Linked DNA regions of Tamandua tetradactyla. The protein of the gene in region 1 interacts with the protein of each later gene in a pairwise test. Links are inferred from orthologs where the notes say so. Each region holds a gene or a part of one and is shown in the gene's direction. Other genes may lie near its edges.

Region 1 (7,552 bases):
ATGGCCATTAGGACTGCCTAACTGAAGCTTCTGTAAGAGCAGCCTCCAGAACAGCCTCTTGATTCCATCTGATCTCTCCTCTTGTCCAGTAACTTTTTTTGCTTTTTTGGGAGCAGGATTGCAGCTCAAGACTATGTCATTGGGGCCTTTCGGAAGTTTGCTACAGACAATAATTGCCACGTGACACTGGTCATACACCCCCGGAAGGAGGATGATGACAAGGAACTGCAGACAGCATCCATTTTTGGCTCGGCCAAAGTGAGTGATCTTTGGAGAGAACCAAACTTTGGTGAACAGAGTGGTCAAGTATGACCAGGGATAGCCCACAGTCAGCCTTAAATAACCTCGTTGACTATCCATTTAACAGATGGGACCGACATTAGGAATATATATGTACTCAAATACAAAAGCTGATAATAATAGTGTGTCGTTCTTCTACTCCAGCTCACATCCTCTAGTGAGGAAAAGAATAAGGTGATGATTACAACTCAATACCAATAAGTGCTGTGATAGTCAGCACACATATTTGGAGAACAAAAAGACATCTGAGTCTGCCTGGGACATCTGGGGAGACTTCTCAGAGGAGGTGTCACTGAAGTTTTGGTTGAATTTTGATGGACAGTAAATGTTAGATAATTAAAGAAATGGGCATTCTGGGCAGCAGGACCAGGGTGATTGTGGAACTTTCTGTGGATACTGAGTGCCTGTTATATGCCAGGCCTGGGTGGGGCACAGGGAATACAGGGCGAGGAGCACAAATTACATGCCACAATGGAACAAACAAGTTGCTGGGGAGAAGAAAAATGCAGCAGTCGAAAAATGGTGGCACTTTCTTCATTTAGGGTAGTAGTAGAAGAATGGTCTCAGATGAAGCATGGGACATTTAAAACAAGACCTGAATGACGAGGAGATGCCGGGGTTGGGTGGGGTGGCTGGCTATGGAGAAGAAGGGTTATAAGCAGAGGAAAACATCAGGTACAAAGTCTTTAGCCCACAGTGAACTCCTTGTCAAAGAACTGAAAAGATTAGAGTAGTCCTAGCATGTAGGTCAATAGTTCAGAAAGCTGTGGTAATTTCTGCCTCTCTCATATGTCTTTTCACCCCTTCCTTCTTTCTTCTGCTCCCTGCACCCCCCTCCCCGCCAACCTCCAGGCAAGCCAGGAAGCAGACAATGTTCTAATCCTGCAGGACAGGAAGCTGGTAACTGGACCAGGGAAGCGGTATCTGCAGGTGTCCAAGAACCGCTTTGATGGAGATGTAGGTGTCTTTCCACTTGAGTTTAACAAGAGCTCCCTCACCTTCTCCATCCCACCAAAGAGCAAGGTCCGGCTCAAGAAGATCAAGGATGACAATGGGCTAGTGGCCAAAAAGCCTTCGTCTGGCAAAAAGGGGGCTGTGCCCCAGAACTCTGAGGCTGGCCCGGGTCAGGCCTCCAACCCCTATCAGCCAGACACCCCCCAGCCTTCTAGGTGAAGGGTGTACAAAGCTGGACACTAAAGTGAGCCTGATGGGACAAGTTGGAACATAGACTCTTTCTTGGCCCTCTGTGAGGGCTGCCTCTGTGCTGTGGTCCTGAAGCTATGGGCTCCTCTCAGTCTCAAGGGCCTAGGCTAGGGCAGGATTCCATAGGAAGAGCGTTCAATTCTGCAGACTTTGCTTTAGGTCGTGGGAATACATCACTGAGCAAGACAGATGTGGTCCTATTCTGTAGAACCTGCATTCTGGTGCAGGAGCTAAGATAAACAATGAATAAAAGAACAGAGAACATAATTTTAGATAATGGAAATGCTATAAAGAAAATTTAAAAAACAGCTATGTGATAAAGAATGTTCACAGGCTAGTTTCAGTTAAGTGATCTGAAAAGACCTCTGAGCAGAGGACACTTGAGTTGGGGTCTGAAGAACGGGAAGGAGCAAGTCATGTGAATACCTAGAGGAAGCAGGCTCCAGATAGAAGGAAGAAGAAATACAAAGGCCCTGGGTTGGGAATGAGCAAATTGAGTTCAAGAAAGTGGTGTCAGGCCCCTCATCTTGGAGGGGATTAAGAGGCTCCTTGATGCAGCTCCCGCCTAGGCTTTCAGAGCTGAAGCATGATATGGTAGGTACTAGGCCCCCCCCGTTCCCCACTTTGTGGGGCTGTCATGAGCTGGCATTAGCTAGAATTGGCATCCTAGGTCCTTGGCCCTGGACTATCAGGACCCAACAGGTAGGAGCTACCTCCCCTGGATTGCTTGGCAGCAGCCATGAACCCAAAGAGCCTGCCACCTGGGCACTAATTCCAGGTAAGCTGCTTTAGACAAACAGTAGTGCTGGAGTGGATGCAGTTATGACTTTTTATAAAGCCTTTTCCAATTTTACTGAAAAAGAATGTTTTTCACTGCCTTTGTTTCTGTGCTTTTTTTTTTTTCTGTCCACCAGGTGTCCCCAGTGTATAACTGGACTCACACTTTGAATTGGGAGTGGAGGGGAGGGGATCTCCTTCCCCACTCCTGGCCTTTGAGTTGTGGGCTCCCAAGGGAGAAGGGGCATTGAAAGACCCTCACCCCTACCCATATAGCTCTTCTGGGCCTAGGGAAGACAAGTGTGTCCTTATCCCTAACTCCTTGAGGAACTCCATGTTGTTCGTAGCAGAGGAGTGGGTCTCTGGGCTACTCAGACCCTGTCTGGTCAGCTGTTCTCTGTGATGTGAGGCACTCGCTGACCACCTTCAGTGTTCACTTAGACCCAGCATATTCTTATCTTGCCGTCATTTCCCTATTCCTTGTACCCTCTTGGTGTTTTTCTTATGTTAGTGTGCATCAGTACTCCTGGGGATCTTGTTAAAAATTCAGAACCCAGGCCCACACGCCCCACACCCTCACTTCCTGCTACACATACATTTCTAATTCCAGAGGTTTGGGGAGGGGTTTAAGAACCCTCATTTTTAACAAGCCCTGCAGGAAATTGCAAACAGGTGAACTGAGATCCTGTCAGAAATATTCCTAAATGATGACATTTTCCTGTCTCACTTTCTGTATCCAGTTTCTCTTTAGAGTTGCCCATTTGTTTTTGAAAGCGTGGGGGAGAATGCAAGATGTTCAGAGGGGGCTGGGGAGAAGCCTTTTATTTAGGTGGGAGAAAGGTTTCCTGCTCTCTGGAGGCAGGGCTGCCATGTAAAGTTCTCCCTGTCAGCTTAAGAGCGTGCTCCTGGGACTCCATGGAAGGCCTGAGGTCTCTGGTCTATAGTGTGTGACAGCTGTGGCCAGATACCTCTCCTGAAACAGACTCCAGAGCAAAGCTGCTGCAAAGCTGTTCTCTGTGGGGCAAAACTTGGGAGGTAGCTCCTCCAGGGCCTCCCTTCTTGGGGGTCTCTCTCCCAGACTGGCTGGAGCCAGGCCTCCCTAATCCTGCAGTAATCATTCCCAGCCGCTGGCTGGCCCAGGCCTCATCCAAACTCAAACACTGGATGTCAGCTATGCCTGCCAGATGCTCAGAACTCCAGGTCAGTCCTACCTACAAAGACAGAGGTTTCACATCCTGGTCCCCCTTGAACACATGGTGTGTTTTCAGGAAATCCTTCAGGAGTTTCCAGTGGGCTAGTGGGAATTCGGGCTAGAGGGGCTCTCTGCATCCTGTGTAAGGTCCCTGGGAGTCACTGTCTACACACCCATTCAAAGTACATTAAGGCATATTACCTGGGATAGGGCTGGACTCTGTCTACCTCCAAGTGAATGCTAAGAATCTCCCCGATTGCTCAAGAATGGCCTGGTCAAGCAGGGTCCAGGTGGATCTGCAGCTTTGTCCTCAGATTACAGTGTCTGTATGTGTCACACTTGGCTGGGAGGAGGGGTCTCCACGGTGAGGGAACAGTTTTGGTCCTCCAGCAGCTTACTCTCAAATGTAGATGAGTTTGAGAATGGACTACACTCACCAGTCTCCTGCAGCCCAACTACTCAGGTTGTAAATATAGCCCAGATTCCTGCAGACATTATAGTCTATGCCTTCCCATCCGCTGCTTTGGGTGTATGGAGAGAGGGAGCACTTAGTGCCTCCCTAAGATAAAGGCCAACTTCCTGTTTGTGCCTGTGGGTGGGACTTTATGAGTCTAAGGGAAGCTTGGCCATGCCCTGTGGAGGCTAGAACTGGCAGACCTCACCTGGGCAGGCACCTACTTCGGGGAAGGGGGTGGTGCTCTGTTCTGCTTGGGCAGCCCCAAGGGGGGAGGGGGGCTGTTTTTGGTGAAACCCGAGCTTTCTTTGTCTGCTTCTCAGGGATTTTCCTGTGTTTGGGGAGTGGGCTGAGAGTAGACCCTGTTGGGCTCTCTAAGGAGAGGGGTGGGGTGGCAGACTCAAGTCCCATAATCAGCGTTGTTAGGACAGCCAGGTCGTTTAGCTCTCCATCACGTGCTGTTCGCCCCTTCCCCAGGTCAAAGCCAAGTCCAGGTTGCCGGTGAAGTCAGAGACCTAAAGGGCAAACTCGAGGCACTGCCCAACTACAGGGTCGGCTGTAGAAGGGGTGCTGGGCAGACCACTCCCCTCCCTGAGTCAGGGGCGCGGCCTCCACCGCTCCGCCCCGCTCCACCCGGCCCGGCCAGGAGGGCGAAGGGAGCCGGGAGCCGGGAGTCCAGAACAGGCTTGGGAGCCGGCGGGTCGGCCGCGAGGAGGTGCCCGCGCTGGAGCTGGCGCGGGGCCGGAGCTGGAGCTGCGGCGCAGCTGGCGTTTGGTGAGTGGTGGGGGAATACCCGCCTCCCACACCCCGCTCCGGAGCGAACTTTCCCCGTCTGGGAAGCTGGAGATAGGGGCGGAGTGGGGTCCTCCTCCTGTGGGACGCAGGAGAGGGAGTCTGAATAGGAGGCGACGCAGATACTCACACTGGCGGGCCCACACACGTGTGCACACCGATCCCCGCACGTACTTGGGACACACGAACACACGTGCACTCAAGAACGGATGCAGCCAGTGGGTTACCCTTGCAGTTGCAGGGGCACGCCACCGGCCCGCGCGGACCCCCGGCGGGCAGGGCACTCTGCTGTCGCGTACTTGGCGGGGGTAGGGGGAAGAGGCCGCCCCGTGACCGCCGACGGGGGCGGGTCGGGTGGGACGCATCCGGAGGTTCCTGCTTCCCGGCCGCCTGCAGGTGAAGACTAAGACGTAAACAGGCGCCGAGCACGTGATCGCGGCGCAGCCTAGTGGCTGTGCTTCCCCCACCCCCGCCGAAGGCCCGGGACCGCCTCTTTCAGTTCGGGGCGAGTCTGCAAGGTCCCACTCGGGGCTGTATTCCATTCTACGCCTCGAACCTGGAGCAATGATAAGCCTTTCCCTAGAAAAGGGACACATCGCCCCCTGGAGGCAGGGTGGCTCGGAGGACCGGGAACGTAGGGCTGGGATGGGGTTACCTGGGCTCCTCGCCCTCCCTCCCCAGGACACGTTCGTGGTGTCTCATCCCTGAAGGTATCGGAGGGGGCCTTCGCCTTGATGGCCGTCCCTTCCCTCCAGCCCAGGGAGCAGCTGTCTGAGCATCTGTGGATCACCTTCCTACCAACCCACCGCCCTCTTGCAGGACTGGGAGCTCCTCCCCGCGATGTAGAACAGAATGCCCGCCCCTGTAAGATTGGAAGTCCCCACCCCCGCCCAGTGAACGCAGGAGTGTAAACACCCCTCAATACCACCGTTTTAGTAGAAGGGAGGATGAGCGCCAGCCTCCAGCCCGGGGAATGAGGGAGTGGGCAGCGGCTTTATACCCCCTCCCCCCTCCACGCGCACACGCTGAGCCCAACTGCTGCCTGAGTTTCTGCGCCGGCTGCCGGGAAGGGGCGGAGGCTCTAAATGTCCCGGGAGGCTGGGATCAGGGCAAGGCCAGAAGAGGTGGTCTCCAGTGGGGAGAGAGCCTCCGTCTGGTTCTTGCGTGGCTGAGGGTCTGGGGTGAGCCTGAGGGTGGCTGGGCTGTGTTTCCCTTTCCAGGGAAAAAGAAAGAAAAACAACCCTTTCCATAAAGCTAAAAATAGAATTGAGAGCCCGGCCAGGGCTGTGGCCTGCGGCGCGATGGGGGGGGGGGGGGGTGCTCCTTCCTGGGGCGGAGCGAGCCCTAGCTAGGCCTTGGCGCTGGGGGGCGGGGAGGGGACTGTCCTTGCCCAGGGTGCGGACATCAGCTGACCTGACCAGGTCGTAGAGACCCCTATGGGAAAGTCCGTGTGGAAGGATATGTTTGTGAAACATGATGTGTATGTGTGAGAAGCTGTGAGAGCAACTGTGAGTGCCTGTCAATGTGTGGAAGATGCTTGGGACACCAAATGTATTTGTGACTGGGCGTGAAGACTGTGCCAAACAAGATGTGTGACACTGTGTCTGTGTGTGAGTTGGCCTGAAAGATTACTGGGAGAAGGAACATGAGACGGAATGATGGATGAGACAGTGTGTGGGTGTTAAAAAGATTGTGTTTATTTGCGAGAGGCTGAGAGTATTTGTGACCCTGGGAAAGACTGGAATGTGGTCTCCTGTGAGGATGGTGTAGGTTTGGACTGTAGGTTTGGAACGGGTCGCCCCAGTAACTGTGTGTGTGTGGGGGGGGGGGGGCAAGGGCCGCCTCTTTTCAAGCTTCTTGGCTCCGAAAGAAGGCTGGAAAGCACGGAGTCTCGCCGGGCGCAGATCTGGGCTGGGGCGGGAGAGGGCAGTTCTGGAGAGAGAGATGGGGGCCCGCACGGCGGGTGGAGGGGGCTGGGTGTGTTCTCCCAACCAGCCGCCAGGTGGCGTCGCTTCCCCCAATCCAAGTGTACCGCCCTCAACCCGCTGGGGGTGGGGCAGGCACGGACCGAGCCTCGCCCCCAGACTGGTGCCGGGGCATAGGGCCTCGACAGCAGGAAGGGGGTTTGCAGCGGACCCTCGACCTCCCCGTCTGGACTCTGAAGCAGGAGAGTGTGTCTTGGGGAGAGGCTTCGACTAGAGAAGCGAATGGGGGCGGGGTGGCCGCCGTCACGCCTGGCCCTTTGTGCTGGAACAATGACCAGCTGCCGCCGGTCCTGGGGCCCTAGCGTGGGGAGAGAGTGACCCGCCGCTGCCGAGTCCTGAGCCCACCGAACCCCCAGGACCATAGACACCAAGCCTCAGAGGGAGGGATCCTGATTCCCGCTGTGCTGCTCCTGCGTGTGCCCCGTTGGACACGCGTGACGTGGGGGTGCTTGCGCGTGTCGGCGTCTGGGGGCGGGGCCGCCCGTCGGACCCCTCCCCCGCGCTGCCCCGCCCACTCGGCCCGGGCGCCGGCTGGCCCCGCGGGTGGGGGGGCGCCGCGGAGGAGGGGCCGGGGCCGGGTCGGGCCCGGCCGCCCGACTGGCCGTGCGCGGGCTGGAGCCGCGCTGCGCGCTGGTGGAGCGCTGGGGGCGGCCCGGGGCTGAGCATGGAGCAGCGCGGCGGAGGTGAGGGGGGGCCGGGGCTGGGAGGTGAGAGGAGGCGCCCCGAACTTCTCCGCGGTGGAGGTCCAGTGGGGAGCCAGCATTCCACAGCTGCCCCTACTTTATGGAAGCCAGGGGAGGGGACGGGGAAGGGACGGGGAAGGGAGGGCTTTGGGGACTGTTGAGGGTG
Region 2 (7,364 bases), on another chromosome or scaffold:
CTCAACATGGACCTGACAGAGTTCCACACCAACCTGGTCCCCTACCCTGCATCCAATTTCCCCTGGCCACCTACGCTCCAGTCATTTCTGCCCAGAAGTCCTGCCACGAGCAGCTGTCCGTGGCCGAGATCACCAACGCCTGCTTCGAGCCAGCCAATCAGATGGTCAAGTGCGACACTCGCCACGGGAAGTATATGACCTGCTGCATGCTGTATCAGGGGGACGTCGTCCTGAAGGAGGACCCACAGCCATCGCCACCATCAAGTTTGTGGATTGGTGCCCAACCGGGTTCAAGGTAGGAGCTGGAAGGAGCCTTGCTTTTTTTGGGAGGGTACAGCACACCTGCATAATCATGCTGCCCCCCAAGGCCTTGGGGAGAAGTCTGCCCCATTCTCTCAGGTTCCTGGTCATAGAGGAGTGAGCCAAAAGTGATCACTTATCCAAGTTTGTATTCTGAGTTCCCTTCCTGAATTATCACAGCATATATATGTCTATGGTGAGCATTTAATTGCAGAAAATAGGAAGTATTCTGAAAAGAATTTTTTTTGCAATGTACTTTCAAATTTATTGATTTTGTGCTTGTGTATTATTTTTCTCATTAAAGAAAAAATGAGGAGGGTATAATAGAGAAGATAAGATTTTAAAAAGTAATATAACTGCTGAATCAACACACTGACGTTTCTTTTGGTCTCCAGTGTCTTGGAGCAGCCTCTCCAAGTGTATGGGTTGGGTCTATACCCTGGCCCAAGGTTTCTTGACTTCAGACCTTAGTTTCCATTGTTCTGCCTCTGAAGTTATTTTTCCTTAACTTTGTTGTTTTTCTCTCCCTTTTAGTCCAGAGTGGCAGTCGTTCCATTTATACAGATCCCACAGCACTCTTGTTGATTTCCTGTGCAATATACTGGGATCATGCTCATTACACAAAAGGACTTTGCACAGATCCTTCCTGGATAACTCCATACCTAATCCTGGCTTCTTCTGGAATGGCTAACTGGTTCCATACTTCATTAGATTTTCACGTGGGACACGATTCTCTGAGGCCTCTCTTTCTGGAGGCCCACACTTTTCCAAAACACCAATTTCTGTGTTCTTTGTACCCAAGATTTCAGTTCTCAACTTATCTCTTTTTCTCTCACATTTTACTATAAGCTGCAAGGAGAAGCCAGACTGCATTTTCCACATTTAGTTTGGGAATTTCTTCTGTTAAACATCCAAGTTTATCACTCTCAATTTCTGCCTTCCATCTACAAAGAATGCCTTTCTTCCGGTTTATAATGATACATTCATCATTTCTGTGTAAAGTCACATCAGAGTTATCTTTAGAGTCCACATTTCTACCAACAGTCTCTTCAGAGTATTCTAGGCCTTCTCTATCAAGTGAATCACAGTTCACCCCGAATCTTCCCCTTATCCATTTAAAATCTGTTCCAACCTTTTTTACTATTTGCAAACCATAGCAGCACCCCATTTCTCTGGTTCCAACATCTGTTCTAGTTTGCAAGCTGTCAGGATGTGATATACCGAAAGTGGTATGGGTTTCAGAAAGAGAAATTTATTAGTTTGAAAGTTTATAGTTCTCAGGCCATAGAAATGTCCAAATTAAGGCAAGTCTATAAACAATGTTCAAATTAAGGCATCCAGGGAAAGATAGCTTGGTTCAAGACTAATCAAATTCAGGGTTTCTTTCTCAGCTGGAAAGGCACATGGCAACGTTTGCTAACTTACTCCCCAAGATTCTTTAATGGCTTCCTTGGGACTCTGTTCTGGTGGCTCTAAAGCTTTTTCCAAAATGGTTCCCTTTTAAAGGGCTCCAGTAAGCAACCCCACCTTGAGTGGGTGGAGATATGTCTCCATGGAAACCATCTAATTAAAAGTTGCCACCCACAATTGGGTGAGTCATATCTCTATGGAAACGATAAAAAAGATTCTACCCAGCAATATTGAATGAAGATTAAAGGGCATGGCTTTCCTGGGGTACATAATAACTTCAAACCAGCACAACCATTCTTGCAGATGCTGACATTCAAGGCTCCTGAGCCCAGGCAGTTTCCTTTAGGTATACAGAAGCTGGTATTGTCTGGGGTATTGACTAAGATTTCTGCAGGCAGCTTGTACCAAAAGGCAGATAGTCCCCACATGCTCTCACAGTTGCTGAAAGTTATAAACACTGACCGTCTCAGGGTGTCAGAGACCAAAAGTCTTGCTTCCTCTGTTGGATGGTAGTGTTCTGGCAAGCTGACAGGCCTCAGAGTGCCTTGGTTTTTTCATTACATGGCAGTGTCCTCTCTTTTCTCTTCTGGGTTCCTGCTGACTTCTGGCCTCTCTCTGAAGGGATTTTTACATTCTTTTTTGGGGTAAAATTGGTATAGGAAATGTAGGTTGAACATAACCATGTGGGAATTTTCAGGATGTTTTTGTGAGTTGTGTGGATAGTGGATATATTTGAAATTGGGATGTTCCACAAACTGCTCTCACCAAATCTTACTTTCGTTCCATTGTTAAAAAACATCCTGTATAATTTTAGATTACATAAAAACTATCACAATCGTCTCGTGAAGAAAACGGAACATCTCTTATTTCTCCTTGGTTAGCTCCTCATCGTGGCCTGTGTCTGTTTCAGACACAGCATTTTTCTGAACTTTCATGTGACACATGATGCATCCTTCCTGTGGCTTCCAGCTCTGGGAGCCTTTGATTCCTAAACCCAGTCCATTCTCCTTTTCTTGGCCCTCTGATTCCTTGTGCCAGGCTATTTACACCACTTGGTCAGGTTCAGACCCTTCGTTTGTGCTGTGGTCATGACAAGTTCCTAACTTGTATCTCCTTCCTCTAGTTCTGAGGTCAGCTGGTGGAGGGACCAGCCGCCCGATTTTTTTTTTTAAGTTGAACCAATTATTCAAATTTTAAAATATTTTTTGAGATATTTTATATACAGTCACACCTGCCTGATTTTGTAAATAAAGTTTTCTCTGAATGCAGCCACACCTCATCCACAGATTGCCTGTGGGCACTTTTGAGCTACAGCAGCAGAGTCATGGGGAACGGTGACCCTGTGGTTAGCAAGGCCTAAAACTTTACTGCCAGGTAGTTGCTTACTATCAGGCAGTTGTTTACCCCTGCTCTAGTCGAGCCCATGTGCTCCTGTCAGTTATGTCTCTGAGGACCCTCAGGCCCTGCTATCCCCAGGTGCCAAAACTCCCCTTTGGCCCAACCTTAGAATGTCATGCAGTGCAGGCTCCTGCTTCAGCACATGCCAGAACCCCTCCAGTGGCTGTGGTGACAGTACATGACCCTTGGTTGTCTGTTACTCTTGCATAAGCCCATGACTGTGGGGACAAGGGGGTGGGGGTGGGATGAGCTTCCCTTATCCCAGTTGTGTTCTCTGAATCTGTCTCAGTTGAAACAATTCCAGCTACAAAATTCATCATCATCTTGTAGAAGCATGGGGGGAAATAATCTCCAAGAAACACAAAGCAGTATCCATTCCAGAGGGCAGACAGTCCCTTCCCTTGAACTGTTATGACACATCAGTTACGTGGTACCCAGAGTCTTCAGGCAGCTTGGAAGCAAGCCAGGGTGACTGAATCCGGCTTCTCTTTCCTGGCTATTTCCTTATCTTTGGAAACCATTTCCCGGCTCTGGCAGCCTGCCTGGCCCAAAGAAGGGAACAGTGAAGGTGTGTGGGCGAACCGAGCTTCTCCCTGGTGGCCACATGGCACTTTCAGCCTGTCTTCTGTGTGAGTAAAAGCAGCTGCCACTTCCAAGAGCCGATTTGAGTTCCGTGTCGTCTCCCCTTCTCCCACAGGTGGACATTAACTACCAGCCCCCCACCATAGTCGGGGGTGGAGTGGAGAGGGCACCTGGCCAAGGTGCAGCAGGCCGTGTGCATACTGAGGAACACCATGGCCATTGCTGAGGCCTGGGCCTGCCTCAACCACATGTTTGACCTCATGTATGCCAAGCGTGCCTTCGTGCACTGGTACATGGGGGAAGGCATGGAGGAGGGGGAGTTCTCGGAGGCCCGGGAGGATCGGGCTGCCCTGGAGAAGGATTATGAGGATGTGGGCGTGGATTCCGTGGAGGCCGAGGCTTAAGAAGGGGAGGAGCACGAAGAGTGAGCCGAAGAGTCTTTTGTATCCCCCTCATCCTACCGTAACATTACATAATATAGTTAACTATTAAAGTTTCTGTATTGAACCATCATCTCTTCCTTGTGCTTCATTTTGATAAAATTCCCAATGCAGATAACCTGCCTTTTCCAGATGGATTTCTGGGAAAAACATCCACGTGTTTCTCTCGTATTACTTAGCACGTCTGCAAAGGTTTAATTGGTGACTGCATTAATCCCAGAAGGAAGCCTTCGAAAAAGTGCTTTATTTTAAATCATCAAAATATTTAAAAATATTTAGTTCTAACCTGCTGCCTTTGGGAGAAGAGAATAGACATGTGACTCTCCTCCCGAAAGGGGCGGTCTCCGTAGCCCCGGCCATGTGTCTCCCGGATGCACACTCCCGGCCTGAAGGCCGAGGGCTCTCAAGGCCGACGGCGCCTTCCAGCTGCCGGTCACCGGCTCGGCAGCCTTAGGCGCGAGTTGCCGGCAACCCCGTGTTGCCGAGAGATCCCCCTCCCCGCCGGCCCTCGTCTCCTGCCCGCAAGGCCCCGCCCCGCCGTCGAGCCCGCGCGCCCTCCCGCATCTCCGCGGGGCCAACTTCCGCTGCCCCACACATCGCGAGACTTGGGCGGCGCAGCAATGGCGAGACCGTGAGTGTGTCCAGCGGGAGCCAGGAGGCCGGGCTGGAACTGTGCCGGGCCAGGATCGAGCCGGAGGAGCCCCAACGATCCGGGGCGTCCTGGGGCACAGCGGCGGCAGGGGCGCGGCCCCGCAGGCCCGGACAGCCGCCCACACCCCCGCCTCCCCGCCAGATGCCGCGTCACTGCTCCGCCGCCGGCTGCTGCACACGCGATACGCGGGAGACGCGCAACCGCGGCATCTCCTTCCACAGGTCAGAGCGCCTGCGTGGTGACGCGCCCGGGCCTTGCGCATGCGCCGCGGTTGCCCGCCTCCCTGGGCCACATTTGCGCCTGCGCTGTGCGCCTGCCTCAGGTGGGGGCGAGGCTCGGAACTTGGGTTCGGGGGTGGTGTCCGGTCAGTGTTCGGAGCGCGTCCTGGGGGACCTCGATGGACAGGAGGTCCTCCGCCCTGGGACCCACCGTCTCCTCTCCCCTGTAAGCAGTTTTCCATCCTGAGGGCTCACTTTCCTCACCTGGGCGGGCTGGGCGAGGCGGGGGCCGGGTGGCCTTTGCTCACGCGCTTTGGGCTCCGCAGACTTCCCAAGAAGGACAACCCGAGGCGAGGCTTGTGGCTGGCCAACTGTCAGCGGCTGGACCCCAGCGGACAGGGCTTGTGGGATCCCGCCTCCGAGTACATCTACTTCTGCTCCAAGCACTTCGAGGAGAACTGCTTTGAGCTGGTGGGAATCAGGTGGGCTCGGTCGCCAACCAGCAGCGGGGCGGGGTGAGGAGTCCTGAGCTACCACGTGGAGACAGGAAAATCCACACCCAAGACCCCCGTGCCAGTGAGACGGGAGGGAAGCATCAGCCTTTCCAGGGCATCGCATGGCCCCAAATAAAAGACTTCTTTGTCTGGCAGCCCATCTCTGCCAGGAAGATCCCTCCATGCTTCTAACGAGGCCTGCAGGGAGGAGATTGCTATAACTGCCTAACTTAACCCTTCCCGACGCTTTTTGCAGTCTGCTTTCCAACCTCCCCAGCCTAGTGCCTTGGGACCCCTCCTGGGGTGCTGGTGGATGTGCCAGCTCAGTGCCCAGGGCCCATCTCTTCGTCTCACCCAGGCTGCTTTTCCCCACAGTGGGTACCACAGGCTGAAGGAGGGGGCAGTCCCCACGATATTTGAGTCTTTCTCCAAGTTGCATCGGACAGCCAAGACCAAGGGGCACGCCTACCCGCCTGGGCCGCCCAACATCAGCCGCCTCCGGCGATGCAGGAAGCGGTATGTGCTGCGGGCTTGATGGACTGGGTCTGCCAGCTGCTTTTGGGTAGCTAGTGTCCTGAAACCTCTGGAGTTGGGGTACATGGGTGCAGGTAGGCTGACAAAGTGGGCCATAACAAGCCCTTAACCCAACCTGTTAGTGTCACTCTCTTTTTGTGCAGTGCCTCTGAGGGCCGGGGGCCCATGACTTTGTTCTCTCCCCCGCCACCTGCGGACGTCCCCTGCTTTCCTGTGGAAGAGGCTTCAGCACCCACCGCCCTGCCTGCCTCTCCGGCTGGGAGGCTGGAGCCTGGCCTCAGCAGCCCCTTCTCAGACCTCCTGGGGCCCCTGGGTGCCCAGGCTGACGAAGCGGGCTGCAGCACCCAGCCCTCGCCTGAGCGGGAGCCAGAAAAGCAGCCGTGCCCTTTGGCCCCACGGCCCATCTCACCCTCGGCCTACATGCTGCGCCTGCCACCGCCGGCTGGCGCCTACATCCAGAACGAACACAGCTACCAGGTGGGCAGCGCCTTGCTCTGGAAGCGGCGGGCCGAGGCTGCTCTTGACGCCCTGGACAAGGCCCAGCGCCAGCTGCAGGCGTGCAAGCGACGGGAGCAGCGACTGCGGCTGCGCCTGACCAAGCTGCAGCAGGAGCGGGCACGGGAGAAGCGGGCCCAGGCGGATGCCCGCCAGACTCTGAAGGAGCATGTGCAGGACTTTGCCATGCAGCTGAGCAGCAGCATGGCCTGAGGGGCCACCGGGCATGGCCAGGGTCCGGGCCCAGCAAGAGGCTTCCTGCAGCAGGACCTGCACAGAGCTGCAGCCACTGTGCCCTATCAGGCCCCATAATAAAGCGGATACCATAGAATAAGGCCCTGCTGCCTGGCTCTCAAGGTGCCTGGTACCCTCCTCTAGGTTCCAGGTTTCTCCTACCCCATCCCCATCCCCGGACAACAGCTGCTGGGCTGGGGACAGGCAGCCTTTGCCCCACCTAGGCTCCTGGGTGCTGGGACCAGAAACTCCTGCCCTCCAACTTCTCGTGGCTCAGCCCTCGGTGTGCACAAGGAGGCAGGCAGCAGCCCACCTGCCGTGGGCCATGGTGCCAGGACTGAGCACCAGTGTTTGCCCTCCTGCACAGCTCTGTGCCCACGGGGGTTCTTAGTAGGTACGGGGTATTGTGGTAGAAGCTGGGGGCAGTGCCAAGTACCCTTCCCTGGGAACCTGAAGCAATCTCGACTTAAGCACATTGGCCCCTTTGAAGTCTTTGTAAAACCCTGTCCTGATGTGGCTGCTTGATAAGGGCACAGGGGCAGCCCCTGACTCAGCAGGGGGCCTGTGTACCTGGCACAGCCTGCGAATCCTGGTCCCCAGACCCACC
Region 3 (7,802 bases), on another chromosome or scaffold:
ATAAATGAATGAATGAATGCTCTCAAGAGCTCTCTGCTCCATCACAGGGATGGAGGGAAACTGAGTCCTGGCCCCAGGACCCTTCCTCTGTGCCGAGCCCCTCCTTCCGGCCAAGCACCCCCACCCCACCCTACCTCCCCAGCAGCTTCCCACCTTCATGCGGCTGTAGACGGTGGGGACGGGGGTGACCCGGTGGTGCTGGTGGGAGCCCAGCAGGCCGCAGAGGCCGCAGATGAGCTCCTGGTCCTTCTCGCAGAAGAGGCTGAGCGGGTTTCGGTGGTGCGCGCACACCTTGGGCTCCGGGTCCCCGGGGAGCCGCAGGGCTTCGATTACCCGCGCCAGGGAGACGTTGGGTGGGGAGCTGCTGCTGTCCACCGCCCGCCGGCACTCAGGGCAGCGTAGCTCGGCGTCCAGGTGGCGGGACAGGGCGACCAGGCAGCCCTTGCAGTAGGAGTGGCCGCACTGGAGCATCAGGGGCTCCTTGAAGACCTCCAGGCAGATGGGGCACTGGAGCGGGTCCTCCAGCTCGGGGACGCTCACCTGCCCAGCCATGCGCACTGCCCAGGCTGAAACACAGCACGGGGGGAGGGGGGCCTGCTCTCTCCCCTCCCTCTGCCCAGAGTGCGTCCCAAAGCTCCCAACCCCCAGGGGTGGCTGGGATGCTCTAGGGAAGGCTGCTGGTCCTGGGTTCCATCCCTAAGCACCTAAGATCTCGTGCCTGTTTCCCCATTTTAAATGAGAAAATGGTCCCTTAGAAATAAATGACTCCAAATTTTGTACTCAGCTTTGGAGGTAAACCAGAAAGGAATCATCTGGAAGAGACATTGATAACCCAAGCCCCAGCCCCGGCAGGCATCCTGGCCAGAACTGGGTAGCAAAACCAAGCAAAGGTCACTGCAGGGAATTACTACTGGTCCTTCCCACCTTCTCAAACTTTTGAGACCTCCCGAGAGCATCATTATGACTGGAGATTCCTGAGTCCCACCCTCAGGGTTCTGAGGCCCAGAACTTTGCATTTTTAATAGACACCGGCAGGGAATACTAAAGCATTAGACCTGGGAGGGCGCTACCCTAACCTTCTGCCCAGCCCCAGGTGGAGAACGACACAGGGCAGTAGGTGCAGGGGGAGCCCAGACGTGGTCCTACCTGGCTCTCACGGTCCTCTGAGCCTTCCCCCCAGGCCTTCCCTTCTTCCCAGGGTGGGCCAGCAGCAGCGGGATCTGGGGAACGCAGTGTACCCCACCGAGCCTCTGCCCCTTTCTTCCTCCGCTTTCCCTTTCCCAGCAGCACCCCCGTGTCCTCAAGGTCACTGGTATCAGGTGGAGAAACCTGGAGCAATCACGGGACTGGGTGACAGCTTCTGCCCGGGCCAGCGCTGATAACTGCTCACTTATGTTCTGGGGCGGGGGTGGGGGTGGGGGGCCGAGAGGGACCGCGCATGCAGCTACACCTTGCAAACTCCAAACGGGAGGGGACACATGCCTCAACAGAATTCTTTCTGAATCATGACTTTCTTTTTTTTTTGGTGGCATTTTGAAGGTATTTTAAAAATCTGATTTACTTAGATTTTTAAAATTGAGGTAGAACATCTACAAAGAGCACAAATCTGAAGTCCACAGTTTGACATGCACTTCACATTTGTATACTTACCCTCAAGGTCAAGATGTAGAACTTTTCTGGCACCCTGGAGGCTCCCTGTACCTCCTGCCAAGTAGCACCCCTTAATATGGGCAGCTGCTTTCCTGACATCATCATTGTAGATTGTCGGGGCTTCTTTCCGAATTTGATGTAAATAGAATCATATGGTATGCATTTTTTTGTACCTGGCTTCTTTCACTCGACAGTATTTAATTGTGAACCTTTTCATGTGAAGTCTTTCAAAGATTTAGAAGTTCAGTCGCATTGCACTATGCAGCTACTGAATATCATGGTCACAATATATATGTACATATTAATATATATCATGGGGGTGCGGTGGGAATTGCTATGGAAAAGACAGAAACACTCAAAGGGAGTTCTAAGGACAGCGGGTCACAGCCCTGTCCACTCTAACTGCCAACAGGAGGAGGTCTCAGCCCCAGTGACAAGCAAGGCCAAGGTTTGGGAAAGGCAGGTTTTAGGCACATTTGACTTATTACTTGAACAAATGCTTACCGAGACCCTGCTATGTTCAAGCACTGTATTGGTGGTGAGTAGAGAACACGACAGACCAAGTCCTTTAGAGTGTCCAGGACAGTGACGATGTAGTGGTATTAGGTATGGAATCCCTAAATAAACAAGAGAATATAATCACGTTGAATGCTATTCAAAAAGTCAACAGAGTGATCCGAAAAAGGGAACGGGGTGGTGGGTTGCATGAGATGCCACTTTAGATGGAGGGGAAAGATACAAAGAAGCCAGTCACATGGAAGTTTGCAGCCCAGGCAGTGGAGAGGGGCTGGCAGGTGCAAAGGTCCTGGGCTTGGAAAGACTTGGTATCGCCGAGATACCAAAGTGGAGACCTGGGTAGCTGGAGCATGGCACACGAGAGGGGACATCAGGAGATGAACTCTGAGGGGTTGGCAGGGAAGGCCCTATCGGCCAGGGCGAAGCGTTCAAATCTCATTCAAGGGCAATGGAAGCTACTGCATGGCTTTAAGCAAGGGGGTTTTATATTTTTCAGAGATCTCTCTGGTTGCTGTTGAGTCCACGGATTGGGGTGTCTTGGGCACCTGGGTGGATGGGTGGCGGTGCCAATTCCCAAAGATTAGTGAAGATCAGAGTGGAAAAGGGAGATGAGAAAATCCAGAGTTGGATGCCAGGGGACATCCAGGTGAAGCAGTGATTAGCCAGCAGTCTTTAGCCTTCAGCAAGAACAGAGGGGCCTGTTAAAGCACAGCTGGTTGGGTCCTGTCTGTTGAGTTCCTGTTTCGGGAGGACAGGGATAGATCCAACAATCTGTATTTCTAGTAAGTTCCCAGGTAACACTGGTGCTCCCGGTCTGGGGACAGCATTCTGAGATCTAGTGGGGTAGGATACTGGACTCTGGCATCTGGGCCCTGGAGCTGAATTCAGAGCGGCCCGAGGCTGGCTGACATGGGTCACCTGTGGAGACATACGGGAAGGGCTGGAGTCTCCCAGCGAGTGAGGACAGACAAGGAAGGACAGAGGGCCAAGGAGGGGGCTCTGGTTGCCAAAGGCAAGAAGAGGATGCCTGAGAAGGAACAGCCAGCGAGGTCAGAGGGAAACAAGAAGAGAGTGGTAACCAGGAAGCTGTGGTAGGAAGAAGGGCCAAAGATATCCACACCCTGACCCCTGGCACCTGGGTAGAGGTGACATGATATGACAAAGGGGCTTTGCAGGTGCGAATAATGTCACAGACCTGAATTCCTTGGGTGGCCCAATCTAACCACATGAGACCTCAAAAGCAGAAAACTTTCTCTGGCCAGAGTTAGAGAGATGCTGCAGAAGGAAAAGTCAGAGAGAGCCCAAGCATGAGAACGATTTGACAAGCTGCTGCTGGCTAGGAGATGTCGGAGCCAGCATACAAGGACAGCAGAGAGGCCTCTAGGAGCTAAGGGTGGCCAAGGAGACAGGGACCTCAAGCCCAGAGCCGCAACCAGCTTGGAAGCGGATCCTTCCCCAGATCTCCCAGGAAGGAGTGGAGCCCCGCCGAGGCCTTGACTTTAGCCCAGTGAAACCAGCAAAGCTTCAGACCTAACATGGGTGTCTTTTTAAGCCACCAACTTTGCAGTAATTTGGTAGGATAGTGATAGAAAACAAATACCCGAAATCGAGAGAAGAAAAGTGTTAGAAGGGCAGAGAGGTCAAATGTCATTTGTCAAACGTCCTCTGGAGTCGGATAAACCAAGGACAGAGAGGTGTCTGATGGATCTGGCAACAAGAGCAGTCTCCACGTATGGGGCGGGGGAAGGTAGCAGTGACGTGGGTTACAGAGATGGGCACAAAGAAGTCGAAAAGCATTTGCGGCAGCTCTTCCCAGAAGTTTTTCTGAGAAAAGTAGGAATCGGGCCATCCGCAGCAGGAGCGTGACGCGGGCTGAAGGGAGACTTGTTCGTTTTAAGGTGGGAGCTTTCCGGACAGGTATGAGCTGAAGGAAATGATGCCACAGTCAAGGCAAGACTGATGGGGTGGGGGGGAGTGGCAGCCAAGCGAGGGAAGCCCTTGAGTGGGCAAGAGGGGAAGGATCCAGGGAGCGAGCCCACAGAAGGGAGCAAGGGGCCGGTCTTCCTTCACAACAGGAGAAAGCAGGTGCAGCGGATCTTGTGGATGTGGCTGCGGGAAGATGAGAGATGTCATATCCATGTGCTCCCCCCGCCCCCCGAGCTAAGATCCGGGAAGTCTGGTGTTAAAGCCCACATGGGGCCTGAGTTTCTGCAGAACCCAACGAGGAAGGGGGCTGAAAACGTAACCCTCGGCCTTGCGGCCTCAGCTTACTTGGAGGCAGTGCCCGCCATGTGCTTCCCGCGCCCCGCACGCATCCAGGGCGATCCACACCCGCCACGTGCTCCCGCGACCGCCCGCCCCGCACGCGCCTGCCGCGTCCCGCCCCCGCACGCATCCAGGGCAAGCCACACCCGCCACGTGCTTCCGCACCCGCCCACGCGCACTCGCCTGCCGCGCCCCGCCCCGCCCCGCACGCGCCTGCCGCGCCCCGCCCCGCACTCGCCTGCTGCGCCCCGCCCCGCCCCGCCCCGCACGCGCCCCGCCCCGCACGCGTCCAGGGCGAGCCGCGCCCACCACGTGCTCCGGCGCCCCCTCGTTCGTTCGTGGCAGTTGGCCGCCTTTGGCGCGGAGCGAGGCGCGTCCCCTCGCGGAGGGCGGTGGGTGGCGGGCGGCCGGCCTGTATAAAGCGGCGACCGAGCCCGCGGCTTCCCGGAATCTCGTGGAAGTGCGCGCGGGCCGCGGAGGCGGGGAAGTCGGCGCAGGCATGGGGGGAAGCGCCCGGAACCGGGGCGTCCTAGGAGGAGACGACGCCCCCGGCCAGGTGGGGGAAGCCGAGGACCCCGCTCCTGGGGTGGGGGTCGACCCCGGAGACTGCCGGCGGGGAGGTGACGGGTGGTGGGCGTAGGGGCGGCCTCCGAGTGTTTACCGTCTTGTTTTTTTTTTTTTATTCTCAAGTCTCCGTATGAGAGGCTAAGTCAAAGGATGCTGGACGTTTCCGGGGACCGGGGCGTGTTGAAGGATGTCATCCGAGAAGGCGCTGGGGAGCTGGTGACCCCTGATGCTTCCGTGTTAGGTACGGCCACAGCCTGGCTGGGATTTGGCCTCGCGGTGCTGGCGGAGGCCAGTGGAGATATAAAAGCACTGTCCCTTCCGAGTGGCAGCAAACCGTTCAATTGCACTTTTCTCTAGGGGCGGGAAGATTGTATTTTTTTTTTTTAAGTAGGTAGTATTTTATAGGGTAGAAAGTTTTTTGAATTTGGATTTTTAAGCAAAGAGCAAGGAAACCCATCTGTCACCCCTTTGCACCACCCAGTGTGAGCAGGGAACGTGCAAAATGTTGAGAAGAGATTCGTTCCTATAATTCGGCATATGGGGTGGTTTAAGCTCATTTGATTGCATCGTTTTGGTGGAATAGCAGAGCTCTGATATAAGACATCAGTCCCTCTGCCTCATTTTCCTCCCCCTGGGTCTGTTTTCTTCATCCTAGTGAAATACTCTGGATACCTGGAGCATACGGACAAGCCTTTTGATTCCAATTGCTTTAGGAAAACACCTCGGCTGATGAAACTTGGAGAGGGTAAGTTCAGACTAGGAACTGGTGAAGAGATAAGGGAACGTGCCATAGGAAGGGAAAAGTCACCAAAGCACAGGTTTTCTGCGTTGGTTTTTCTGAGACTGGGTTTTGCTAAAGGCAGCCAGGTTCTCTCCCACATCCCCCCTGGAGCCCTAGGGATTCCAGAGATGGCCTAGCTGGCAAGGTTTCCTTTCCTGCATCCTGCCTTCTCCACTGGCCGTTTTTCTTTGTTCATTTGCTAAGTGAACAGGTATTGAGTGTTCCCCACACACAAGGCAGGGTGACAAGGGAGAAGGTGCCCAGATGATTAAACCTTCCCAGTATGGGGAGATTGACGTGTATTCAGTCAGGTAACCTTGGAGAACCCAGTGAGTGCCAGGGAGGTGGAAGCACTGTATGGAAGTGTTTAATGAAGGTACAGTTAATTCCAGCGGGGAGGATCTGGCAAGGCTTCCTGGAGGAGGGGGCATTTGAAATGAGCCCTGAAGTTTGTGTGAGATGTCAGCCAGTGTAGAAGCTGGGGACAGGGTGAGAGGGAAGAAAGAGAACAGCAGGGACAGAGCCGCAGAGCCTAGCAAAGCTAGAGTTTGGGAGTGGCGGTGGTAAGCGGGAAGAAACAAGGCTGGAAGGTGGGTTGGGACCACCGTACAGACGGTTTGGAGTATTACGCAGAAAGGACTCGAAGGGGAAAGAAGCTGATCGCATCAGGACAGGATTGGACACCCTTTAACCATGTTCCTGGCCTCTTTGTCCAGATATCACGCTCTGGGGCATGGAGCTGGGCCTTCTGAGCATGCGGAGAGGAGAGCTGGCCAGGTTTCTGTTCAAGCCCACCTACGCCTACGGGATGCTGGGCTGTCCCCCCCTGATCCCCCCAAACACCACTGTCCTGTTCGAAATCGAGCTCCTGGACTTTCTGGACTCTGCCGAGTCAGACACGTTCTGTGCCCTCTCGGCTGTAAGTTCCGGCGTACAGGTGTCAGCCCTTGCTACGGAAAGGGGTGGGTTTGGGGCATTCTGCTGTACCGCCTCCCCTGCCCCCAGCCCACCCTGGGCTCCTGCGCCGTGGCCCTGCCTTGGTGGAGGACCTGCGTGTCCAGTCCGGGTCTGTCATGGGTAGGTAGGAGTGCTGGGCCCAGGTAAGTGGTGGTTATCGACCTGCAGTTTAAGCTGCCGCCTTTGTCATCCTTTGCCCAGTTCTCCCTGCAGGGCGGTGGATATCTGCTTCCCAACGTTAAGTTTGTTGCCCAGTAAGTATTGGCAGCCCATAATGACGGAGACTGTATAAATTATATGTCAATAAATTGTTGTCTAACCGAGGACACTTGAGAGTGAAGGGCCTTTTAACTAGATGGGACATGAGGACTTTGGGTGTCCACTGGGACAGTCCCAGGGAGACCTGGACACATGGCCCTTGTCCTCAGAACTTTAGTCGTGACTTTTCTGTGTAGCCTTTCATTTAAGCCCCTTAGAGGTAGGCCTTGTGATCTCATCAGCAGATGCATACCCTCTCCCCTTCATCCTGTCCCACGCCGGCTTGGGTTTGCAGCCTTAGATGTCACCCCAGGTTTTGCCTCAGTGTAAGATGTGTCCTCAGCTAACCCCTAAGTACCCAAGAGAGGGGTCTGTCCTCGGAGTAGAGGTCCTTGTAGATGCCTGGGGCTCGCTTCTGGTGTACTAAGCTGGTATCTCCAGGGATGGGACCAGGACATCTGTGCAGAGAAGGAGACTGTCTGAGTGATGGTGATATGTGGCCAGGACCGAGCAGTGTGGCGGTAGTGACCAGGGGGGCACACCGAGACCCGCGCGCTGGGTGAAGGACTGTCCGTGCTCCATGGGAGACCGCTCCCTTCGGGAGAGCATCAGGGAGGGTGGGAGAAGCAGGCCACCTCCCGGCTCCAGCGTGTGCAGTGGGGACGCATCACACCCACTGCCACGGCTTCTCTGGGAGCTCCGGGGACTGCGCTGCCAAGGCTCCTTGTTTGGCTCCCCGAAGGCAGTAAATCAAAGTTCCCAGAGCTGCAGTGGCACTCTCGCCGCGGCTTTGGGTTCTCCTGCTGAG
Region 4 (7,149 bases), on another chromosome or scaffold:
CTGTTCTAAGTTTCAACTTGGGGAGGGTGGGCCATGAGGGCTCCTGAGGTCCAGCACGCTGCCACCTTCCCTTCCCCAACCCCAAGCACCAGCAGACTGGCTCATGGCCTTTTCTTCCACTTTATTTCATATTCCCACCACAGTAATGACTCCTTTAATTTAAACTAAAAACCATGAAGGGTTCCTGAAAGGGTGGCAGCGAAGGAATAGGGCCATCAAAGACTGAGGGACAGGTAGGGGGTAATCAGCGAATCGTCTTGACTGGACTCTTGAAGTTGCTGGCGGCTTGGAGCTGCAGCTGGTAGGCCATCGGATGGATCTTGAAACCATAGAGCCTGGGTCGGGGTGACAGGTCAGAGAGGCAGCAGGGTGAGTCCCAACCTGGCCCTGCCAGGGGTCTGCATTCCTGTCCCCACTCCCTACCCCCTACCCCCAGATCCTCCTGGGCCTGCTCAATGCTTAAGGGCAGCAGTTCCCAAACTCCTGCACTGGAAAATATCTGGACATGGATCTTAAAATTGAAACTCTAGGATATATAGTTGTACTTGCTTCAATATAAAACTGAGCCTTTCCTCCCCACAACCAGACCGGTGCTTTAAGATGAGCCAGGTTTACCCTGTGGCTCCCAGGATTCTCTGGTAAAAGGTTGAACTCTCAAGGCAGTGGTGAAAATAGCTTAACATTACAATAGTGCCTTGGAACTTTGTTCTAAACAATCTACATATTTAACTATACCCTGTTAAATAAATTCTGTCATCAATCCTGTTTTACAGGTAAGGAAATTAAATAAGGAATTTGAATAATGCATTCAAGGTCACTCAGCAGAGAGAAGCCCTGGCTTTGGGACAACCAGGGACTTTCATGCCCTTCCTTTGACTCTTGGTGACTGTCCGAGCTCCCCACCTGGGCACAAACTGGTTGGCTGGCCGCTTAGGTCGGTACTCGGGGTGCACCATGAACAGCATGTGAGGGAAACCAGTGCCGAAGTAGGCGCCGTCTGTGTGGTGGTGCCTTGATGACTTGGGTGTGTACACATCCATGCACTTGGGGCAGTAGAGCTTCACCATGGCCTCGCCTGGGATGTCTGATAGGCCTGGGAGACAGCCAGACTCAGCAGGCTGGGCACTCACCCACCAACCCTGACCAACTCCCCCCCCACAGGACTCAGGCCCAGACTTGCTGAGTCCCAACTCCTTCCCAGGGAACCTGCCATATGTCACCCTCCCCAACACTCACCAATGGGAAGCATTGGCTGGTTCTCACAGTACACACGGGGACAATAGCCAAAGTCTCCCTGCTGGTATTTTTCCAACTAAGGTGAATAAAATGGAAGAGATTGGTGGGTAGGTAAGAAAAAGCAACCTATGTGGTTCTGACTCCCTTCTCAACCCAACCCACATCACTCTGTCCGTCAATCCTCCCGCCTCTGTCAGAAGTTCCCTCTCTGGCTCAAACTCCTCGGCTTTCCTTCAGCTAGGCTGAGGACCATCAAAGCCATTTGCCATTTGTTTCCTGAGGAAGAGGCAGCCTATAAGAACTTCTATTCAGACGCATGTCTCCCTCCCTGACTCAAGTCTGGACTCAATTCTCAGACCCAAATTTTGGGATTCTTTCCCTCTTCTCAGCTAGACTCCCTGGCAAGGTTAAAATGTGTGACTTCTCACTGTGGGAACCTTCGTTTCTCTTATTTCTCAGAAGAAGTCAAGTGGGAGCAGAGAGACCTCACCATCTGGGCAATGCCACGGTTGGTGAGGATGTAGCGGGCGTGGATTAATCCATACAGCATCTCCGCCGCCTGCTCAATCAGGTCACTCTGGTTGGGGTTGTCTTCCAGCTCTTCATCTGAAATATGTTCCAGCCCAAATGCAACACTAGTCATTCAGCTTTCCTAGATGCTCCACCCACTCCCAGGGGTACCCGCCACCCACTATTTAGGCATCTGACCCAGAAACCTGGGTCTCTGCTTCTCCTTTACACCTCTCCAGCCTCTGTTTTCTTCTCCCCCTCCCAATTCCTTCCTCAATGCATAAATGCAAAGACGTTAATGCAGAATGAGGAACTTTAGTCTGGAAAGTGCAGGGCAGGAGAAAGAGGCAGAAAACAAGACATGTGCGAAAGATGGCATTATGGAACAGAGTTGAGTTACAAGACAAGAAAGCATGGGAACATGTGGCAAGAACTTGGCAAGAATCAGATGGTGATCAAAACAAAACGAGGAGTTTTGGCTTTAGAAAGCCACAGAAGCAAAAAAAAATTAGGAATTAAAGAAACAAGTGAACAGAGATTTGTAGAAAAAGGGGAACAAAACAAAGACAAATAAAAAAAAACAAACACTGAGAGTGCCTCACCAGGCTCCAGGTCCAAAATCATGTCTAGAGCTTGCCGATAGTGGGGTACTTGCTCATTGAGCCCTGTGAGGTTGAACTTGTCCTGGATGTAATCTTCATCCACCTGTTAAGATGTGGAAGTCAAGAGGGAATTCATAGCGGAATCCACAACTTTGGCCAAGGCAAGTTGCTCTAAATGATGCCTGGTCCTCAGTGTAGCTACTTCTATTACCCTTGTTCCCATTCCCAGGGACTCAATAGAAGTACCTGACTTTCTCTTTCCCATTCACACATACTCCTTTCCATAAAAGTTTTGGCTTCTCTGTTCTAAGGATAAAGTGGTACACCAACCTCCACCTTGGAAACATTCTGTTCATGTTCTGTATCCTTTTTCCTGAACGTCACCCCACCCACCCACTCCCATCTCTAGGAACCACGTTTATCCTCTCCTTAGGGACAGCTGTCTCTCAGGAAGGTGGAAGCTGAACAGCTTAGATTCCCAAGGCAGTTACAATCCTTATGTTACTACAAAGTTTTGCACTTCATAGAACTTTTTAACACACAGTACTTCAATTTTCCTCAGTCAACCTGAAAAGAGACTGCCACTACCACCCCACTATTATGAAAGAGACACAGGTTGGCTTATTCAAAGTTACACTGCTGGAGAATAATGGGATTAGTATTTCACCACAGGTTACTGGGCCAAACTGAGAGGATCATTCTTTGACAGAAAGGAGTTTTCATGGTAGCATGTGAAAAAATTGAGTGAGAACGTCTGGGGCCAGAATATGTGTAGGAAATAGGGACGTTTAAGAGAACTCACTTCACAGAAGAATTCATTGCCACGGAGCCCACAGAACCAGGAGATCCAGGATACCTCCTCTGAGCTGCTCATCTTCACGTCTGCAGGGAAAAAAATATGTGAAGCTGGTGACCCACAGCTCTTGCTCCCTGCCTACTCCCTTAATATCCTCCCTCCTCCTACACTTTGCCCTCCAACCACAGAGAAATTTGGGGCCACCTTATCTTAAAGGATCTCTGACTCTACAGCACACCTTTCCTGCCCCTCTTATTTACATGCCTTGGCCTCCTTCCCCCCCAATCAGACATTCTGTGATGTTCCACCTCCTACCATCATTTGCGAGAAGCCTATATATCTTTTCTCACTAGTTCTCTCCACATCCCTGGCGATCCCGAATGCTAGGTCCCTTTTCCCCCGTGTCAATTCCGGTAGGGTCCGCGCCTCGGACGCCGAAATACCGCAAAGCTCTGCATCGCCCGGTTCCCCAGGGTTCCGAAGTTAATCCTTCCCGGGCAATCGCCAGGTTTCTTCTTTAGATCCCTTCCATAAAGTTCGCACATCCCGCCTCCACCCCTCAGGACACCCCTCCCTCCCTTCCTCCCTGGGTACCAGACCGGGTCACTTCCTTCCCCGCCCCCACATCAAGACGCGGAGACCCCATGTGCCGCGCCCAGCGAGTAGACGTTCCGCACAGCGACGACCTCAGACTCACCTGCTAGACGGTGGCCAGGACCGGGGGAGGGGGGGTAGGGGAGTTGGTGCTTTCAAGGGGCGGCGACGACCGCTACAGCGAAGGCCACGGACCGGACCGCGGCAGAAGCGGGGTAGGGGGGAGTGGAAATTGGAGAGGGTGGGGAAGAGGACGACGCGCAAGCGCTAAGGGTCGGGTGCCAGGGAGGACGCCGGGAGATGAAGTCTCCGGTACGGAGAAACTAGCGAAATGAGGGAAAAGCGAACTACGAATCCCAGGATGACCCGCATCCGACCCTGGGGTCGCGGAATCCGCGAGGAAGGCTGGGGGCGGGGCGCAGCGAGTCACCACCGGAAGCGGAAGCCTAACTCCACGTTCGGGGCCAGAGACTAAGGGAAATATAATCACGTGTTCAGGGTACGGAGGGGCCGACGTGGGGCGGGGAAATAGCGAGCTAGTCTCTGGTTCCTCCCCGCCGCTCCTCTAGCCGAGCGAACACTGGCTACCGGCATAGCGCTGCCGTACACGGAACTGATTCCATTCCGGACCGTTCTGCTGGGCCCTTATCAGCTATCGGGCTCCTTGCCAGAGTCAGGCCAATCCCTGGCAGGGCCCATGTTTCACTTTGGGCCCCGTTCACCCGAAGTGGGAGGTGCGGTCGGCATTCGTGCTGAGAAACTTGGGTGGGATGTGCTGCGCTGGGCTGAGCGGTCTAAGAACCAGAATGGTCCACTGCGCTAACCTGAGGTGGCACCAGCCATCCTGCCGCTCGTCGCCTTGCACTGCTCCATCTCTTAGAAGAGCTACAGTGGGAGGGGTTTTTTGCTATGGGCTCTAAGTGTGATCTTCAAACCCTGATCAGAGTAAGGGTGAGGGGCACCGTGACGTTATTTTATGTCACAGCTTATCGACATTCCACAGGTTTTCCTCTGCCTCTGTAAGACCTTTCTTAACCCAGGGACTGGCTTCCTAGTTCCAGAAAATGGGCTGGAAATGTGGACAATGTTGAGGGTTGCGAAGGGCATTGTGGGGCGTTATGTAAAAGTCGGGCCTCAACCGACTGATCCTCCTCGGTCCTCGCGACAATTGGGCACATGGTGCTTTGCGCGCAAACTATTGGCACGATTCCAGGGCGGGAAACTGAACCCGACGCTTTGCGCACGCCGGCGTCGGGAGTAGTGGCTGTGTATGCATTTTTTTCAATCACGCATGCGCCTTCGTGTTCTGTAGCTATTTGATTGTATTGGCTTGTTTTATTAGAGTAGCGCCATTTTGCCGTACGGAAGCTCTAAGAGACAGACGCCTCTGCTTGACATCCTCTTCCGGAGAAGTGTCATGTCTGTTTTTTTGTTTTTTGTTTTTTTCCGGAAAGACGGAACCCCGAATTAGGATTGAGGAAGATTTAAAGAGCCAGGCTGATGTTTTTCTTAATGGTATGTCTTACGGGGTGGAAAAGTTGATCCAAAGAGAGGCTGGTATTATTGCTGGGGAGGTCTGGACTCGGGATCTCTGGGCAACTCTCTCAGGGTGTTTTCTTTGTTAACCTTTAGCAAGAGACAGACCTGTTACTGTAGGATCTCATATTTTTATACGTGACCTTGCAGGCCCCTAAGTTCGGGGGTCTCTTTTGGGACAGCTATGGTCTTTGATTCTAAGGTTACTTTTCCTCACCCCAGCAGCTCCCTGGAAGTGGATTTGGACACTGCAGAGCCACTAGGCGCTTGGCTTGCTTGTCTGAGCTTCCCCTTGCCAGAGTCTCATTCTCTCAGTTCTCCCCCAAGTCATGTCCAGGCCTTCTCTTATCACCTTCACCCCAGCCAGTGACCCCAGCGACCTCTGGAAAGATGGGCAGCAGCAGCCACAGCCTGAGGAACCAGAGCCTGTCCTGGATGGGCCTGCAGCCCGGGCTTTCTATGAGGCCCTGTTTGGGGATGAGAGCAGCCCCTCAGAACCTCAGAGATCTCAGCCTAAGCCTATCAGGGTGAGAAAGAGGAAGAAAAGAAGAGTGGTGGGGACACCTGTGGCAGAAGCAGCAGCAACAGCAGCATCAGGGGGACACAGACAAGAGAGATCCCTTGAAGCCGAGGACAAGATGACTCAGTGGATACTGAGGGCAGCCCAGGAGGGGGACCTGGCAGAACTTCAAAGGCTACTGGAGCCATGTGAGGCAGGGGGTGCTGGAGGGAATATCAACACCCGGGACACCTTCTGGTGGACTCCCCTGATGTGTGCTGCCCGAGCCGGCCAGGAGGCAGCTGTGCGCTATCTCCTGGGTCGCGGGGCTGCCTGGGTGGGAGTCTGTGAGCTAGGTGGCCGGGATGCTGCCCAGCTGGCTGAAGAGGCAGGCTTCCCTGAGGTGGCCCGGATGATCAGAGAGAGCCACGGAGAGACAAGGAGCCCAGAGAACCGGTGAGGGGAAACCTTACCCCATAAACATATATCAGTGTGCTCTGCCCTTTCTAGTCACTCTGTACCAGAGGTTCCAGAACAGAGCTGGGAAGCTTTCCTCCTCAGTGTAGGTGATAAGATAGTATACTGGAGGAGTTCTGAACTCGAGCTCCCAGAATTTGAATCCTGACTTTACTTACATGGGCAAGGAACCTAACATCTTTGTGTCCCGGTTGCCTCAGCTGAGAAATGGGGGTAATAACAGTACTTTCTCACAGGGTTGTTATTAGGATTAAATGGGTTAATACATGAAAATGTTAAATGGTGCTTGCCATATAAGTATTATATAAATATTAGCTTTACTCATTATTCTCATTATCATTATTATTTTTCCCTTCCCCAGGAGCTTTTTGAGACCTGGTTACCACCTCTTCCCCCAACCATTCCCATCTGGGTTCCCACTGGGTTCTTCAAGTGGGGAGGAAGGCAATTTGTTCCTTAGCCAGAGGGCTGGAGGGAACCTGTCCCACCCTGCCAGCCCCTTCTGAGGCCTCTGTGTTCTTCCCCCACCCCACAGCCCCCATCCTCAACTCAACTCCTCTTCTTCCTCTGCAGGCCTCATGCTCCCTCTCCCCAGTACTGTGAGACCTGTGACGCCCACTTCCAAGACTCCAACCACCAAACGTCTACTGCTCACTTGCTGTCGCTGTCCTGGATTCCCCAGCCCCACAACCTGCCACCTGGAGTCTCTGCCTCCAATCCAGGCTTCAAGCTGCTGCTGAGGGGAGGCTGGGAACCTGGGATGGGACTGGGACCCCGGGGTGAGGGCCGAGCCGAACCCATCCCAACTGTCCTCAAAAGGGACCAGGAGGGACTAGGCTACAGATCAGCACCCCAGGCCCGAATCACACACTTCCCAGCTCGGGATACCAGGGCTGTGG

Evidence for each region.
Region 2: the proteins of LZTS2 (region 1) and THAP7 interact in binary tests that used the Homo sapiens proteins (3 or more experiments, as listed by UniProt). The two-hybrid records come from large-scale screens. The link is inferred for Tamandua tetradactyla from reciprocal best matches to the Homo sapiens genes LZTS2 and THAP7.
Region 3: the proteins of LZTS2 (region 1) and FKBP6 interact in binary tests that used the Homo sapiens proteins (3 or more experiments, as listed by UniProt). The two-hybrid records come from large-scale screens. The link is inferred for Tamandua tetradactyla from reciprocal best matches to the Homo sapiens genes LZTS2 and FKBP6.
Region 4: the proteins of LZTS2 (region 1) and GPANK1 interact in binary tests that used the Homo sapiens proteins (3 or more experiments, as listed by UniProt). The two-hybrid records come from large-scale screens. The link is inferred for Tamandua tetradactyla from reciprocal best matches to the Homo sapiens genes LZTS2 and GPANK1.

The regions. Positions count from the first base shown.
Region 1 is NC_135339.1:62,550,115-62,557,666, forward strand, and holds the start of LZTS2 (leucine zipper putative tumor suppressor 2), read left to right. Parts: upstream 1-4,543; 5' UTR 4,544-4,700; exon of another isoform or gene 4,701-5,108; intron 5,109-5,373; exon of another isoform or gene 5,374-5,995; intron 5,996-6,096; exon of another isoform or gene 6,097-6,139; intron 6,140-6,735; exon of another isoform or gene 6,736-6,889; intron 6,890-7,276; exon of another isoform or gene 7,277-7,386; intron 7,387-7,550; exon of another isoform or gene 7,551-7,552. Other genes in the region: TWNK (twinkle mtDNA helicase), read left to right, coding at 117-258, 1,153-1,473. UniProt on the Homo sapiens protein: Negative regulator of katanin-mediated microtubule severing and release from the centrosome. Required for central spindle formation and the completion of cytokinesis.
Region 2 is NC_135331.1:26,825,486-26,832,849, reverse strand, and holds THAP7 (THAP domain-containing protein 7), read left to right. Parts: upstream 1-4,709; 5' UTR 4,710-4,923; coding exon 4,924-5,003; intron 5,004-5,326; coding exon 5,327-5,482; intron 5,483-5,869; coding exon 5,870-6,010; intron 6,011-6,171; coding exon 6,172-6,736; 3' UTR 6,737-6,858; downstream 6,859-7,364. UniProt on the Homo sapiens protein: Chromatin-associated, histone tail-binding protein that represses transcription via recruitment of HDAC3 and nuclear hormone receptor corepressors.
Region 3 is NC_135349.1:11,071,459-11,079,260, forward strand, and holds the start of FKBP6 (inactive peptidyl-prolyl cis-trans isomerase FKBP6), read left to right. Parts: upstream 1-4,794; 5' UTR 4,795-4,930; coding exon 4,931-4,987; intron 4,988-5,121; coding exon 5,122-5,239; intron 5,240-5,653; coding exon 5,654-5,743; intron 5,744-6,495; coding exon 6,496-6,698; intron 6,699-7,802. Other genes in the region: E3 ubiquitin-protein ligase TRIM50, read right to left, coding at 154-552. UniProt on the Homo sapiens protein: Has an essential role in spermatogenesis. It is required to repress transposable elements and prevent their mobilization, which is essential for the germline integrity.
Region 4 is NC_135331.1:87,251,485-87,258,633, reverse strand, and holds the start of GPANK1 (G patch domain and ankyrin repeat-containing protein 1), read left to right. Parts: upstream 1-4,141; 5' UTR 4,142-4,237; intron 4,238-5,080; 5' UTR 5,081-5,253; intron 5,254-5,496; exon of another isoform or gene 5,497-5,499; 5' UTR 5,500-5,603; coding exon 5,604-6,229; intron 6,230-6,823; coding exon 6,824-7,149. Other genes in the region: CSNK2B (casein kinase II subunit beta), read right to left, coding at 245-335, 904-1,093, 1,237-1,312, 1,727-1,842, 2,349-2,451, 3,151-3,222.